2 linked regions of the Tamandua tetradactyla genome follow. The protein of the gene in region 2 interacts with the protein of the main gene of each other region in a biochemical or structural test. Links are inferred from orthologs where the notes say so. Each region holds a gene or a part of one and is shown on either strand. Other genes may lie near its edges.

The links.
Region 1: of the proteins of ZAP70 (region 2) and LAT, one has a biochemical effect on the other in vitro, tested with the Homo sapiens proteins (2 studies listed by BioGRID). The link is inferred for Tamandua tetradactyla from reciprocal best matches to the Homo sapiens genes ZAP70 and LAT.

The regions. Positions count from the first base shown.
Region 1 is NC_135349.1:25,126,177-25,133,916, forward strand, and holds the start of LAT (linker for activation of T-cells family member 1), read left to right. Parts: upstream 1-4,630; 5' UTR 4,631-4,723; coding exon 4,724-4,726; intron 4,727-5,060; coding exon 5,061-5,104; intron 5,105-5,386; coding exon 5,387-5,502; intron 5,503-5,628; coding exon 5,629-5,737; intron 5,738-5,849; coding exon 5,850-5,935; intron 5,936-6,165; coding exon 6,166-6,235; intron 6,236-6,374; coding exon 6,375-6,439; intron 6,440-6,536; coding exon 6,537-6,714; intron 6,715-6,792; coding exon 6,793-6,887; intron 6,888-7,740. Other genes in the region: SPNS1 (protein spinster homolog 1), read left to right, coding at 505-656, 755-821, 1,587-1,732, 2,017-2,172, 2,457-2,646, 2,982-3,047, 3,321-3,419, 3,782-3,953 and 1 more. UniProt on the Homo sapiens protein: Required for TCR (T-cell antigen receptor)- and pre-TCR-mediated signaling, both in mature T-cells and during their development.
Region 2 is NC_135343.1:3,443,573-3,450,820, reverse strand, and holds the start of ZAP70 (tyrosine-protein kinase ZAP-70), read right to left. Parts: upstream 3,009-7,248; 5' UTR 2,909-3,008; intron 2,732-2,908; 5' UTR 2,642-2,731; intron 1-2,641. UniProt on the Homo sapiens protein: Tyrosine kinase that plays an essential role in regulation of the adaptive immune response. Regulates motility, adhesion and cytokine expression of mature T-cells, as well as thymocyte development.

The sequences.
Region 1 (7,740 bases), on a different chromosome or scaffold from region 2:
GGCTGTTGCTTCTCTGTCCTCTGACGTTTCTCCTTTTTGTTCCCGTTCTCTGCCCCAGAACTCCATCTTCAGCCCTGGGCACTATGTACTTTCCTTGGGTGATCGTAATCTGTCCTTAGTTTCAGGTGTCTCTGGTGGACAACCCCCTGCCTCAGATCATTTACTGTGGGGTGTCTTGGGTGGGATGGGATGGAAACTAAGATGTATTTTACACCTACTGGATGCAAGGTGATGAATGGACCTCTTATTATCCAACCCTCACAAGAGCTCTGTGAGCAAACTACCCTCCTTTTGCAGATGAGAAAACTGAGCTCAGAGAGGTTAAGTTATTTTCCAGAGACACAGCTAGTCATGGTGGAGCCAGGATTCAAGCTCAGGGTTGTCTGTTACTAAAACTCCGGCTTCTCCTACCATCCCCGCCACCTCTCCAGAGCTGGCTGGCAAGGTAGGCTGGGAGGCCGGTTACAGGGTGGGGTGCCACCTTCCCCATGTCTTGTTCCCCAGCGTTTCTGGCTGCTCCTCCTGACCCGGGGCCTGGTGGGGGTTGGGGAGGCCAGTTACTCTACCATCGCACCCACTCTCATCGCCGACCTCTTCGTGGCAGACCAGCGGAGTCGGATGCTCAGTGTGTTCTACTTTGCCATCCCAGTGGGCAGGTGAGTGGGCCTGGGCCCTGGCGGGGAGGCACATGGACCTGAAGTTGGGGACCTGGCTGAGCAGCTGTCCTCTTTCCTCTCCTGCCTTCTCCACCCAGTGGCCTGGGCTACATCGCAGGCTCCAAAGTAAAGGATGTGGCTGGGGACTGGCACTGGGCTCTGAGGGTAAGTCTGGTCATGGTCTGGGGAAAAGTCAACAATATTCTTCACTGATCCCCCTTTCCTGTCTTCAGACACCTCCTTTTTGAGGCAGCATTCATTGCTGAGTGTACAAAACCTCCCTGCCCTCATGAAGCCATGTGCGAGACAGAGGTCTTGGCTGTAGGTGACAGAAGCCCATGTAGAACTGTAAACCTATAAAAGGGACTGTATTGGCTCTCATAATGGGAAGTCCCAGGGTGAGTGTCAGGTAAAGCTGGGTCCAGGACTCCTACAGTGTCGCAGAAATTTAATCATCTTTTTCTCAGCTTTAATTTCTTCTGTTAATTTTATTCTCAAGCAAGGAAAACCTCCCAACTTATCATCCCCATGTAGAGACCTTTGCACTGTGGAACCTTGATCAATAGTCCCACATTGCTGTCTGATTACATGATCATGGGTCACATACCTGTCACTGAACCCATCACCAAGGCAGAGAGTTGGGGGTCTTTTATTAGCCAGGACTTGATTGTATGCCCAGCTCTATTTGAATCATGTGGCTTGAGAGAAGGGGTGGGTGGCTTCCCAGGAGAAAATTAGGGTGGCATTACCAAGGAGAGAACAAAAGTAAAGTCTGCAAAATGGGTGACAGCCCCTCCAAATTACAGGCTCAGCTTCGTTGAGCAGGCATATATCTGCATCTTTGAGATCTTGGGGCCCCAGTTGCATATAAACATCCCCACTTTCCCCCAAGGTCAGGTCAAGGGTTCCTGAAGCCCGCTCTTTCCCCAGGTGACCCCAGGTCTGGGAATCGTGGCTGTCCTGCTGCTGTTCCTGGTAGTCCGGGAGCCGCCACGGGGTGCTGTGGAGCGCCACTCAGACTCGCCACCCTTGCACCCCACCTCGTGGTGGGCGGATCTGAGGGCTCTGGCCAGAAAGTGAGTACAGTCCCATCCTGGGCCAACATCCAAAGGCCCCAGAGGGACCTTGAACATCTGGTTTGAGATTTGAGTGGGCGTGGGCTTTCCTTTCTGCTGGCCCTCAAACCCTAAGGTTGGCAATTTGGTCACTACTGCCCCTTGTGGCAGCGGCTTGAATTACAGGCCTAGGTGCAGGGAGCCAGGCCAGCCTTCCTCTCAAAATCAAACCAGGAGGGGAGAACAAAGATCCCCCTCTCCAGACCCTTGGGTGGAGTCTAACCTTTTACCTCCCACCTGTTCAGTCCTAGTTTTGTCCTGTCTTCCCTCGGCTTCACTGCTGTGGCCTTTGTCACGGGCTCTTTGGCTCTCTGGGCTCCTGCATTCCTGCTACGCTCCCGTGTGGTCCTGGGGGAGACCCCACCTTGCCTTCCTGGAGACTCCTGCTCCTCCTCTGACAGGTACCCAGGTGGGGCCAGGGAGGGTGGTCTGCAGGAGAAGGAGGGTGGCATGAAGAGACCCTACGAGTCACATCCAGGCAAGGAGACTGAGTCCCAACTCCATAAGGCCTCTTCCAGCATCTCAGTGCCCCTCGGGGCTCTGGGCTGTTGGGGCCTGAGCCTGGATAGACTTGAGCTGTGAGGGTGGCTGGGAGGGGTCACTTTCCATCCCAGGCCATAGGGGCGAGGGCTGGGGTCTTTGCAGGCAGAGGGATGAGCCCCCTGCCCTCCCCCTGACCCCCTAGCCTTATCTTTGGGCTCATCACCTGTGTGACCGGGGTCCTGGGTGTGGGCTTGGGAGTGGAGATCAGCCGCCGCCTCCGCCGCTCCAATGCCCGAGCCGACCCACTCGTCTGTGCCGCCGGCCTCCTGGGCTCCGCACCCTTCCTGTTCCTGGCCCTCGCCTGTGCCCGTGGTAGCATCATGGCCACCTATGTGAGTAGCCAGCAGGTGTCGGGGGGTGGGGTTCTGGGTTCAGGGTAGAGGAAAGGTACACTGAGCAGGACTGGGTCAATCAGTATCGCGGGTAAGAGCAGCTCTGGAGTGAGAGTGCCTGGTTCTGAATCACAGCTTTGCCCTTTCCTAGCTGTGTGATATTGGACAAGTGACTTAACCTCTCTGTGTTCATTTTCCTCATCTGTAAAATGCAAATAATAGCCTATCCCAGTAGGAGGATTGTAAAGATTAAATGAATTACCAGATGAGCCTAGGGGGATGGTAGATCCTCCATGTGCTTGCTCTTATTGTGATGACTCCTCCCTTGGCCCCAGATTTTCATCTTTATTGGAGAGACACTACTATCCATGAACTGGGCCATCGTGGCTGACATTCTGCTGGTGAGTGGCTGGGCAGCTCCAGGGTTAGCCCAAAGGCTGGTGGGAGCAGGGCTTGGGGTCCGGAGGTCTTTGCTTGGCTTCATCCCTTCTTTACAACCCACCCCCAGACTGATTTCAGAGTGCAGCACGCGGTAGGCCTATAATCCTGGCCCTACCCTGTGACCCCAGTCTGACCGCAGCCTAGGCTGAGCCGTGACCCTGTCCTCATCCTCTTCCTCTTGCTCCCCACCGGGAGAGCATCCCCACTGAGCCCTCATCTCTCCCACCCCGCAGTACGTGGTGATCCCCACGCGGCGCTCCACTGCCGAGGCCTTCCAGATTGTCCTGTCCCATCTGCTGGGTGACGCTGGGAGCCCCTACCTCATCGGGGTGGTGAGCGCTGCCCCCTGGCCGGGCTTGTGGTAGGAGATGGGGGCCCCTGTACTTCCAGCGGCCAGTGGTCAGAGCCTGGGTCCCAGGGGAAGGTCTGGCCCAGCTGGGTATCCATGTCCTCGGTGCCAGGCACGCCTCACCTGGGTGGCTCAGCTAGACCGGGAAGTTCGTTCTTGGATGCTCTCCCCCTGGAGGCCGTGGACCTTACCTGGCGGTCCAAACCTCCCCTCCTTTCATGGCCTCCATTTTCCTTCTTTATCAGGAGTCAGGGGCTCCCTGTCCTGGGTTCCTCTCCAGGTCTCTCTGACTCTCTCTCTGCTGAACTTCCTCTCCTCTCCTGGCTCACCATCCTCTCTCCATAGATCTCCGACCGCCTCCGCCGGAGCTGGCCCCCCTCCTTCCTGTCCGAGTTCCGGGCCTTGCAGTTCTCGCTCATGCTCTGCGCCTTTGTTGGGGCGCTGGGCGGCGCGGCCTTCCTGGGCACTGCCATCTTCATTGAGGGGGACCGCCGGCAGGCCCAGCTGCATGCGCAGGGTCAGTTGGGGCTTCCCTCGGTCTGTCCATAGCTACCCATCTAACCTCCCCATACTGCCTGTGTGTCCGTCCAGCTGTCTGCCCAGTCTGTGTATTTGGCATCCCTGGGTCTACATCTCTCCCTCGTCCAGCTCCAGGTCCTTCTGTGTTACACTCTGGGGGCTCCCCACTGCTGCCTTGTCCATTTCCTATCACTTGTTTGTCCCCTCTCTGGCTTTGTGTTTGTCCGTCCAGCCCTGGCTCTGTCCCTCCCACCCCCAGGTCTGCTGTGCGAGGCGGGGTCTGCAGATGACCGTATCGTGGTGCCCCAGCGAGGCCGCTGCACCCGGGTCCCAGTGTCCAGCATGCTCATCTGAAGGGCTGCTGCTCCTCTGTCTGCATACCTGCCGTACCTGGTCCCCAGCCAGGAGGTGCCCAGGCCCAGACCTTCGGCTGGGCCCAGCTCCCAGGAGGGCTCTGGGCCCCGCTCCAGCTCCCGGACTTGTCGGGCAGCGTAGGGGGCTGGGGGGCGGCGGGGCTTCCGGGAGGGGTCTCCCTCTGCTAGGGTAGCCCCAGGGGCTTGGTGCTATTTGTAATGGAATAAAATTTGTAGCCAGACCCTGCGTTTCTGCTTGACTCTTTCTCTGGGTGCGAGTGACCTCTGACCTCTGGACCACAGGGGATGCCCCTTCCCCATCGTCAGGACTCCCTGAAGGCCGGTGGGGTTACTGCGGTGGGGCTGTGGGCAAGCCCGAGGGTGGACTGCTGTCCGAGTGAGCTGGCTCAGTGTGATGGTGAGTCACGTACATGGTTCCCCCTCGCGCCCGCCCCTCTGGGCAGGCAGGCCAGGGGGGAGGTGGGCTGGGCCCTGCCCTCCGTGCCTGCAAATTCCCAGCGTCAGCTCCTCTCTCCTGCTGTCTCCTCCGGGCCAGGGTGGCCCACAAGGGCCTTGCCCCTCAGCCTGGGGACCAGCCGACCCTCCTCAAGGGCCTGGGGGTGGCTCCTCAACCTTCCTCCTCTCCACTCCCTGCCGGCTGGGTGGGGGTGGGGAGGGGGCGGGTGCAGCCTGCTGAGGAGCCCGATGATTTCCTGCCCTCACCCGGCGCTCACCACAGCTTCCTGCCGCAGGCGGGTGGGCGCCAAGGAGAGGCGGGTGCTGAGCCAAGGGGCAGGTACGGCTGGGGCGCAGGGACCACGCAGTGGGTGGCTGGTGCCTATGCCTTCAGTCTGGGCCCTGGCCTAACCTGCCCGGGGCCCAGAGCTGGTGCTGAGCCCCACACAGCCCCAGCGGGGGAGGGGACCCAGGGAACCCCCAAGGAGGGCACAGCAGCCCCCCTCCCCCGGCCCCCCGGCCTGGCACCCACTGGTCTTGGCACCCCTGCCCGGCCTGCTCCTCACCCTGCTGCAGCTCTGCCCTGAGGGGCCTGCAGGGGTGCAAGCGGGCCTGGCCCCAGGTCTCTCCTGCAGATGGAGGCGGCCATCCTGGTCCCCACCGTGCTGGGCCTCCTGCTGCTGCCCGTCCTGGCCGTGTTGCTGATGGCTCTGTGTCTGCACTGCCGTGAGCTGCCAAGTGAGTGGGGAGCCGGGGCGGGGGGCGGAGGATGGGGTGCTCGGACACACAGACGGGGAGCCTCACCCCATTTCTCAGCCCCTAACTCCCTCTTTTATCCTGTCCCCACCTCTGTCCCACACCCAGAGACTGAGGGCCGTCCTGGACTCTGGAGGCCTTTCCCCTCAGCACCCCCTTTTCCTGCCTCACCAGCCCTCTCTCCCCCAGGTTCCTACGACAGTGCTTCCTCAGATAGGTGAGTGCTCCTGCTCGGCCCCTGCTCGGTGCATCTCCCTCCATACCCCGGGGCTGGGCTGGGCCGGGCCAGGGCCCACCGCTCCGTTCCTCAGCTGTTTCTCTCCTGCCAGTTTGTGCCCGAGCAGAATTGTGGAGAAACGGACTCGTGAGTACACGGAGGCTCCCTCCGTCGAGTGGCGGGAGAGGGCCCTGGCGGGTGAGCAAGCGTGCGCCTTTGTCCAGGTTTCTTCCTGGCCACCCACCGGGAGCTGTGCCTCTGGCCGGGACTTGAGTTGGGGATGGGGTGGGAGGTGGGTGTCTTTGGGCCTGTCCAGAGCCCAGGGGGTTGGGGGTAAACGTGGAGAGCAGCGTCCGTCTGCCCTTGGACTACAAGAGTAGGGGCAGATGCCTCGGAGTCATTCCTTCAGCTTGATTTTCTGTCCTCAGACACACTTGCCCCCTGGCTGCCCGTCACTTCCTACCCACCCTTGAGCCAGCCAGACCTGCTGTCCTTCCCGTGAGTAGTCCCTCAATCCCCTGTCCTCCAAATCCTGTTCTCACCTTGAATTGGGGGGCTCTTTCCCTGTTGTGACCCTCCGTGCACTTGGAGCCCTGAAGTCCTTTCCCAGGCATGACCTCTGACCTTTGGCTCCCAGGAGATCTCCACAGCCCCCTGGGGGCTCCCACCAGATGTCATCTTCCCAGCAGGACACCAACAGTGGTAAATGCAGAGGGAGGCTGGGGACTGGGGCTGAGCAGAGGCTGGGCCTGGCCCGAGCTGACTCTCTCTCTCTCTCCCTCTTTCTCTCTCTCGGAAGCCAACAGTGTGGCGAGTTACGAGAACGAGGGTGCGTCTGGGACCCTGGAAGTCCTGGCTGGGGTGGGGAGGCTGGGGCCACACCTGGAGTTGCTGACCCCTGTGTTCCCCCTAGAGCTGGCCTGTGAGGATGCTGACGAAGACGATGATGAGGAGGATTATCACAACGAGGGCTACTTGTGAGTGGCTGGCAGGGGGGAAACGTGGGGGCCGAGGTGCTGCCGCCCTCACTGACCTACCTCTTGCCTCGCCCTCAGGGAGGTGCTCCCCGACAGCGCCCCGGCCCCCAGCGCCGCCATCCCACCGGCTCCTGTGCCCAGCAACCCTGGCCTCCGAGACAGTGCCTACTCTAGTGAGTCAGGGACATCTGAGCACCTTCCAACTCCCCCTGCCCCTGCTTTTGCCTCTCGTGTTACCTCTTTGATGATTTCTATCCCGCAATTTCCTCTGTTTTCTTTCTAGAACTCCTATCCTCCAGATATTGAACTCCTGTTCTGATCGTCTGATTTTCTTAGCTCTCTTCTCCTCTTTTCTGTCTCTGTGTCTTTTTATCTGATTGTCGGGAAGATTTCTTGGACTCACTTCTTCCCACCCTTCTATTGAAATTTTGCTTCTCCTTGGTCTCTGAATGTTCCTTTTTTAGCACCTCCTGTTCTTGTTTCATGGAGGCAGCAGTGTCTTCTAAATCTTGAAGGATACCCATACCGGGATTTGGTGGGGGACTTTTCTTTGGTTTCCTGTATTGTCTCGGTTTGCTTCAAGCTGCTCTTCTCCCTCTGTTTTGGCCTCAGCCTAGCTGTTGGAGATGTCCTCAAAGCTGGGGGTGTTCAATTTTCTATAACTCCCCTTTCTCTATTTGCCCTGCACCATCACAGCCACACCCTGGCTTCATTTGCCATCTTGATTCTCAACTTGCCACCTCTCTCCTGAGCTCCAGCCTATCTGACCAGGTGGTTCTTTTCATCCATCCATCCATCCATCCATCCATCCATCCATCCATCCATCCAACAGATATCTTCTGGGTGCCTCCACTGGGCTGAGGCTAGGGATACAACCGTTAATGAGGTAAACTCTATTGGTAATAACAGCCAGCATCTTTTTGAGGACCTAATAGGTACCTTACAAAGAGTTTATATGTGCTAATTTATTAAATCTCACAATTCCCAGGTGCTGTCGAGCCCGCCACTGCCCCTCCCTGCCCCTCA
Region 2 (7,248 bases):
CATGTCGGAGCAGCAAGGGCGCCTGCCCTGGGTGGTCGGGTGGAGTCCGGGAGACGAGGCTCCAAGCACCGAGCCCTGGGTCTCCGCCTCTGCCCAAGCCCCCCAGGGCTCCCCTCCCTGGGGTGAAAGCCTCATGCCCATCACCTCCCTGCCCGGCACCCTCCGCTCCAGCCAGGCGGGCCTCCTTGTGGCACTTGTCAAGCAGCTTGAACGAGTTAGGCCTGGGCCGCCCTCAGGACCTCTGTGCTGCTGTTCGCTCTGCTTGGACACGCTCCCCCTACACTCCCTCACTTCATTCAGGTCTCTGCTTGAATGTCACCTCCTCCAGGGGGACTTCCCTGACCTCCCTCTCTAAAATAGTGCTCCCTTCCCTCTTTATCCTCAACCCAGCCTTATTTTTCTTAAGCAACTGAAACGTGCTGCCTGCCTTGGCCTGCTGATTTCTATCCTTTGCCCCTGCTGGAACACAAGCGCAGTGAGAGTGGGGACTTCTTGTTCCCCTGCCTACACCAGCAAGGCACACAGCAGGTGCCCAGCAGGTGTTTACTGAGTCGACTGTTTAATACAGAAAGTAAAGTCCTGAGCATGGTGGGGGCCTGGAGCCGGGGGCAGTGACCTCAGTGCATGTTCTACCCTGGGCTGGGGGTCCCGAGGCCGGAAGGTATGCAGCCCACAGCAGTGGGCATCTCTGGGGATCCTCAGGGCCCGGGCAGTCTGGCGAGGGATAAAGGGGGCCCCTGAGGACAGAGGGGTGAAGGGTAGACCAGAGGCTTCCACCGTGGACACCGAGCGGGAGGAGAGGCCAGTCCAGAGGAGACTGCGCAGGTGCCCCTCCCTCCGTCCAGACAGCGCCCATCCCCCCCACCCCTTGCCCCCAGGCTGAGTCAGGGACCCCCTGGGCTCCCAGGGCTCTGTCCTCCCATGTCACAGCCCCACACAGCCACATGTGACCACCTGACCATGGAACTCCCCAGCCAGAGCCCACAGCTGCCTCTCCTACTGCAGCCCCTCCTCCCTCCAATAATGTCAGAAGGCCACAGTGTCTGTGTCAGGGACTGTCCTCAGCCATCTAACCTAACTCCACTCAGTGGAGACTCGTCCCATTGCTTAGCAAGGAAAAGCAAGGCTCAGAGAGGTTAACGTCAGGCTCACAAGAGGTACAGTCGGGGTTTGAACTCGGGCCTTTCTGGGCAGCTATGTCCCCCAGTGAAGGTATGAGACTGTGGGAAGCAGAGTCCACGGCTCTGAGAGGGTCCCCGGGGGTGCCACAGCCCCGGGGTCACCACCCTGTGAGTCCAGGCCCAGGCGGCTGCGCTGGTGGCCGGCACCCACATCCAGTCTGCACCCACTAAGTATCTGATGATGGACTCACCAATGCGCCCCTTCGCCCCTGTGCGGCCAGAGCTCTTAGGCTGTGTGCCCGGCCCGTGAAATGAGACGGGAGGAGCTGGGGAGGGAGTGAGGAGGTGGGGATGGGGTCTGATAGAGGCTGGGGGCAGCGTGGGTGCTGGGCAGCCCCCCGGCCTCCACCACGGGATGCTGGCTCCAGGCATCAGCACCGTCCTGGGCGGCGGGAAGGCCCTGTGCTTTGGGGCAAGGTAGGGAGGGGCTGGGTGGCTGCCACCCGGGAGAGTGGGTGTCAGGGGGCCCTGGGGTCCAGACCCGAGACTAGCCTAGAGCTGGAGGTTAGAGCTGCTCAAGGCGATAGGCTCACGGGGCACCTGCTGTCTAGATGGGGGCAGGGTTACCACCCCACCCATTTGCAGAGGCAGCAGAGAGGGGTGAGTGACCTGGTCAGTCACCAGCTGACGAGTGGCAGAGCCTGGGCGGGCAGCAGGCAGCCTGGCCCCAGAGCGGACCCGCAGGCTGCCCCCTGCCCCCGTCACAAGGCGAGGAAAGGGAGAAGCAGCTCTGACTTGGGCAGAAGAGCCTTCGCAGGCCACCCAAGGACACGGCACTCTGGGCGTCCCTGGCCCTGACCTCTCAGCAAAGCTTTATTAGGCACTTAGGGTTCTGCCCGCTGCCTGGGCCAGGGAGAGGGCGACGAAGTCCATCTCCTGCTGCCCACCACACGGACCCTGTTCCTACTAGCTCAGACTCTTTCCTGCCTGGGGTACTTTTCCCAGCTCTCGCCCACGGAGCTGCACACTTGGCAGGTGCACACCTTGTAGGTGCCGTTGCACTTACTCACATGCAAACTGAGGCTCAGAGAGGACAAGCAGCATGCCAAGGATGCACAGCAGTTGAGCAGGACTCGAGCATTCGGCTCCTCCTCTCTGGGTCTGTCTCCAGCCTGCCTCATCTACACGGGTCTCAGCCACCTCACGGAAAGCCTCGGCATTTTATTTTTCAGAGTCACAGGCCCGTTGAGCTGCCCTCAAATTAGCAGGGTCTGGAGGCCAGGGTGCACATTTGCTTTCTCTGGAGGTTTCTCTACGTGGAGCGAGAGGCCTCTGGGTGCCCCGGGCTGCCACTCGGCGGACCCTCTGACCAGAGCTGCTTCCCCCCAGGAGGCCACAAGCAGCACCTGCTTCCTTCCGCCGCCGGACACTGGCCATGGCTCTCAGCCCAGCCGGCTCTCCCGGGTGGCCCCTTCCATGGCCCCAGAGGTACGGCCCAGTGCTGCTGCATCGGGGCTTACCTGGGAGATGTGCAGGTGGATGTCGCAGCCAACAGGTCCCGAGGGAGCGCGGCTTCCCGAGGCCGACAGACAGTGGATCTGGATGAAGACCTGACCCAAAAAGCCACGCTGGGTCTCTCCTGGCCCTGCCCAGCCGCAGAACCCCAGCCTGCTCGCCAGCCCCTTGTACCCAGTCGTGGTGCAAGGAGGTCCCACCCTCCAGGGTTTCTCCCTCGGGGCGGAGAGCCCTGGGCTGGCGGTGATAGCAGGCCAGCGAGGGCCACTCACCTGGACGCGGCCGGCAGAGAAGGCCCAGGCGGGAGGCCTGCTGCGCTCTTGGCAGCGGGTTTCTCTGAAACTCAACGTATTTCCTTGATGCGAAGGCAGGAAAGGGGGCCGCCTTTGAAGTTTACGTCAAAGTCACAAAGTGCTGCGTTCAAGGAAAATCACAGGCCACGTGGGCCAGGGATGGCAGGGGGCGTTTCCGGGGCCCAGCAGGGCCTGCCTGGCCTGGGGGGACGTTGGGCAGCCTTGGGCAGGGGTTAGGTGGAAAGGATGGTGACCCAACAGCAGGCCCCAACCTGGGGGGGACCGCGTGTGCAGAATGGGGGTGGGGGTGACGGGGAGGGGACCCCAGGACACCTGGGAAACCAGGATGCCCCCTCTTTCCTCTCCCAAAGGGAGTGGAAAGGAACAGGGGCCTGGGGCCAGCCTCTTGACGAACCACCCCACAAGGGCGATTGATTTGTCCCACCAGCAAGCTAAAGCTGGATGGAGGAGATCCATTGGGGAGGTGGGGGCCCCAAGCCTCCGGAGCCTCTGCCAAGTGCCCGGCCTCGGGGCGACAGCAGTCCGTCCTGCCCTCGCTGGGCGCCAGGCCGGGGCGGAAGGCAGCGAGCGAGGTCAGCAGGAAGAGTAGGGCTGGACGGTGGGGGCCCAAAGGAGCCCCGACCCAGCCTGGGGATGTCAGGGAGGGCAGGGTTGACCACACAGTGAACACAGGGACAAGGGACAACCCCAGCCAGTCCACCCGCGACCTTCCACACGCTCTCCTGGCCCCTGGCCACCGGCTGCTCTGGCCACCGCCTCTCCCTCACCCTCCCCAGCTCTTGGCCTGGCACCCAGCAGTCTGCCCCTCCCCAGGGTGGCAGCTGTCTCACCTTCTGCCCAGGCAGGCAAACCTCACAGCTGCTCCCTCAGATGGGGCCCTGCAGAAAAAGTCCTAAAGCCACTCCACCCCATGGCCACTTCCTCCCTCCGGTGCCCCCAGAGCCTCTGGGGGACCCACTTACCCACGAGCTCTCTCGGGCACTTGAGTTGAGGATTTCTCCCAGTGGCTTCTCATCCAGGGCTTAGGGACCCTGTGGGGGGCCTGGCCCCAGGGAGTCCCCAGGAACAATCTTGTAGGGTTTCTGGGGGACGGGAGGTGGGGGCTCCTTGGCCTGTGCTCCCTTCTGGGCTCCACCCAGGTCCCCTTTCCCAGGGACCCCCCAGTCTCTACGAACCCCCTGTGATGGTTGGGTTCAGGTGTCAGCTTGGCCAGGTGATGTGCCCAGGTGTCTGGCCAGGCACGCACTTGCCTGATGGTTGCTGTGAGGATATTTCATGCTGGTTGTTAAACCGGAAAGCTGGTGTACTAAGTCGTCAGTCAGTTGATTGCATCTGTGGCTGATCACATCTGTGATCAACTAAGGTGTGTCTCCCACAACGACATAATCCAACAGTTGAAGGCATTTAAGGGAGAAGAGAGACCCTTTCACTACCTCTTCAGCCAGCGAGCCTGTCTTGTGGAGTTCATCCAGACCCTTCATTGGAGCCGCCAGCTTCACAGCCCGCCCTGCGGATTCTGGACTCTTCCATTCCTACGGTTGCGTGAGACGCCTTTATAAATCTCATCTTCACAGATCTCTCCTGCTGGTTCTGTTTCTCTAGAGAACCCTGACGCCCCCACAGGAGTGCGTGGCGGAGGGTGAATGCTGTGATAAGGGGCCTGAGAGGTTAGAATTAGGCCAGGCCAAGGACATGGGTCACTGAAGGCCGCGCCCGTGACCAGGCAGAGAAGGGGGTTGTATGGGACTAGTCTTAAGGATTTGGGGAGGGGTGTTTTCAATAAACGCTGTGCAGAAGGGCCCCAAAATAGGAACGGATAAGCTCTCTGGACTCTGTGTCCATGAAATGTAGACATAAAACTACTGCTTGCCAAAGGCTGTTTCTCATCACCGCCCCCGACTCAGGACGTCTTTTTCTGGACCCCAGGCTGGAATATGTTTCTCCTACATAGGTTCCCCCTAAACCATTTTTGCTGGAAGCCTTCTCTCCCCTCACAGGCATAGTGTAACTCAGTTTCTAGAGAAAGTCTCTTTTCCCCACGCCTGTTACCCCGTCTGTTAAAGAGAGAAGGCTGCTGGGAAGAGAGTCGCAGCCTCAAAATCACAAACCAGCCACAGAGAAATACTAGTGGTCTGTCTGAGCCCGGCCGCCAGTGTTCTAATCATTTCAGCCTGATAACACCTGGAATCATCAAAACAACCCATTACTGGGCCCATTTTCCACATGAGGTCATGGAAGCCAGGAGAGGTTATCTAACAAGCACCAAATGGGGAGATGGGCCCAGAGTCCAAAACGCATGCACTGGGGGACACAGGAGGTGGAAACCCGGCTGCAAAATATTCCGGGGGGCAGTACCCCCGTGGCTCAGTGGCAGAGGTTCTCGCCTGCTGTGCAGAGACCCAAGTTCGATTCCTGGAGCCTGCCCATGCAAAAGAAATATACCAGGCATGGGCTTCTACTCTGGGGGGCTGTAGACCCCCAGAAGGGGCCTCCTGGTCTTCCCTGAAACCTGGCTTAGCAGCCCCAGACCCCTTCCCGCCCAGGTCAGCGTCTGAAAGCACCCGGGGAGCAGGTGCTCAGAGCGTTGGGCCATGGGCCCACGGATCAGGGGAGCTGAGGGCTGCGAGGTAGCAGCCAGGCTGCATTTGGGGATGCATGCAGCCACACACAGAGGGAACTTGAGGAGACTCTGACCAGGCTGTGGGCCCGGGGTCCCGCCCTGGGCTCCGTCTCCTGCCTCTCCAACTGTGCACTCCTACTTCCTGGATTCCTGGGGGATCCAGGAAGCCTTCCTGATCCCCCACCTGGGGAAGATTCGCCAGGCTCTGAGCAGGCCTGCTCGGGCTCTGGAGCCACAGGGCCCCCAGCCTGGGGAGGGCACACCTCGGCACAACGCTCTCCAACAGCTGACAGCTCCCACCACCCGGAGCGTCCTGGCTCCTACCCATAGGGGTACGGAGTGCACCTCAGCCGGGCAGCGCACCTCAGGAAGCCCCCTCCCTACACTGCCGTGCTCACCCCTCGCAGGCGTGGTCCCTGGGCGTGGTGCAACGTTGCGTGAACACGTGTGATGGAGGTGCAGGGCCAATGATCGCTGGGCCGTCTGGTGGTAAGTGTGTCAGTGTGTGGTAAGGAAGCTGCCCGGCAGGTTTGAATGCATGTCTGTGTGAAACTGGATGTGTGCGGCCTGTGTGTCTGTGTCTGCAGGTGTCTGAGGACGAGTCTGTGGGTTTGAACATGTGTGTGCAAGCATCTGGGCAGGTGTCGTATGTCTGTGCAACTGTGTGGGTGTGTAAGTGTGGGGTGTATCTACCATGTGTGTACGTGTCTGCAAGTGTGTGTGCTGTGTGTGATCTGGATTTGTGTGTCTCTAAGCAGGTGTGTATTTGGGTGTGTCTGAGTGTAACGAGCAGGTAAATGCTTTGTCTCAGTGACTCTGTGTCTGGTGTGTGTAGGTCTGATGTGTATGAATTTGTGTGTGTTCGCCCTGGTGTGCATGGAAATGTGGAAATGAGTGTGTGTGTCTGCACATGTAAACCTAGGGGTGTGAGTATGTGTGTTTCTGGGTGTGCTTGTGTGCACGTGGGGGTGAGCATGCACGTCTGTGTAGGTCTAGGGGTTTCTGTGTCTGTGTGCCTCTGTGTGTGTCTCTGAGCATGTGAATGAGTGTGTGTGTTTGTGTCTGGAACGTCAGGCTCAGGTGCCTTTACCCCTTGGAGCCCTGGTCCCCGGCTCTGCAGGCGTGGCTCCTCTCCCACACTGCACATGTCTGGGTGTGGCAGTGGCACCCCCACTCCTGAAGTGCCCTCTGTGCGGTCTCGGCTGTCTGTTTCTACCACCCCTTCCCTCCTGACCCCTGGCCCGGGGCCCGCAGGAGGGAGGAGGCTGCGCCTGGCACTGAGCGAGGGTGGCTGGCACGGGGCTCGGAGCATGGACTCGGGGCCCTGGGCAGGCAAGTTCCCATCTGGCTAGATTCACCCCGCTGTGAGCTGATGGAGTGAGGCAGGATCTGGCTTGTGAGGCTGTGGAGGGTCAGAGACTTGATAAAGTGATAAAGTCCACAGGAAATGCTTGGCGCCCAGTAAGTGCCAGGGAAGCAGCGGCTATGCGAAAAGTAACAGCACACAGGTGAACTCACTGCCCTCCCCTACGTGGGACATGACTCCCAGGGGTGTAAATCTCCCTGGCAACGTGGGACAGGGCTCCCAGGGAAGAGCCTGGCCCTGCCTTCGTGGGATTGAGAATTCCTTCTTAACCAAAAGGGGAAAAGAAATGGAACAAAAAGTTTCAGTGCCTGA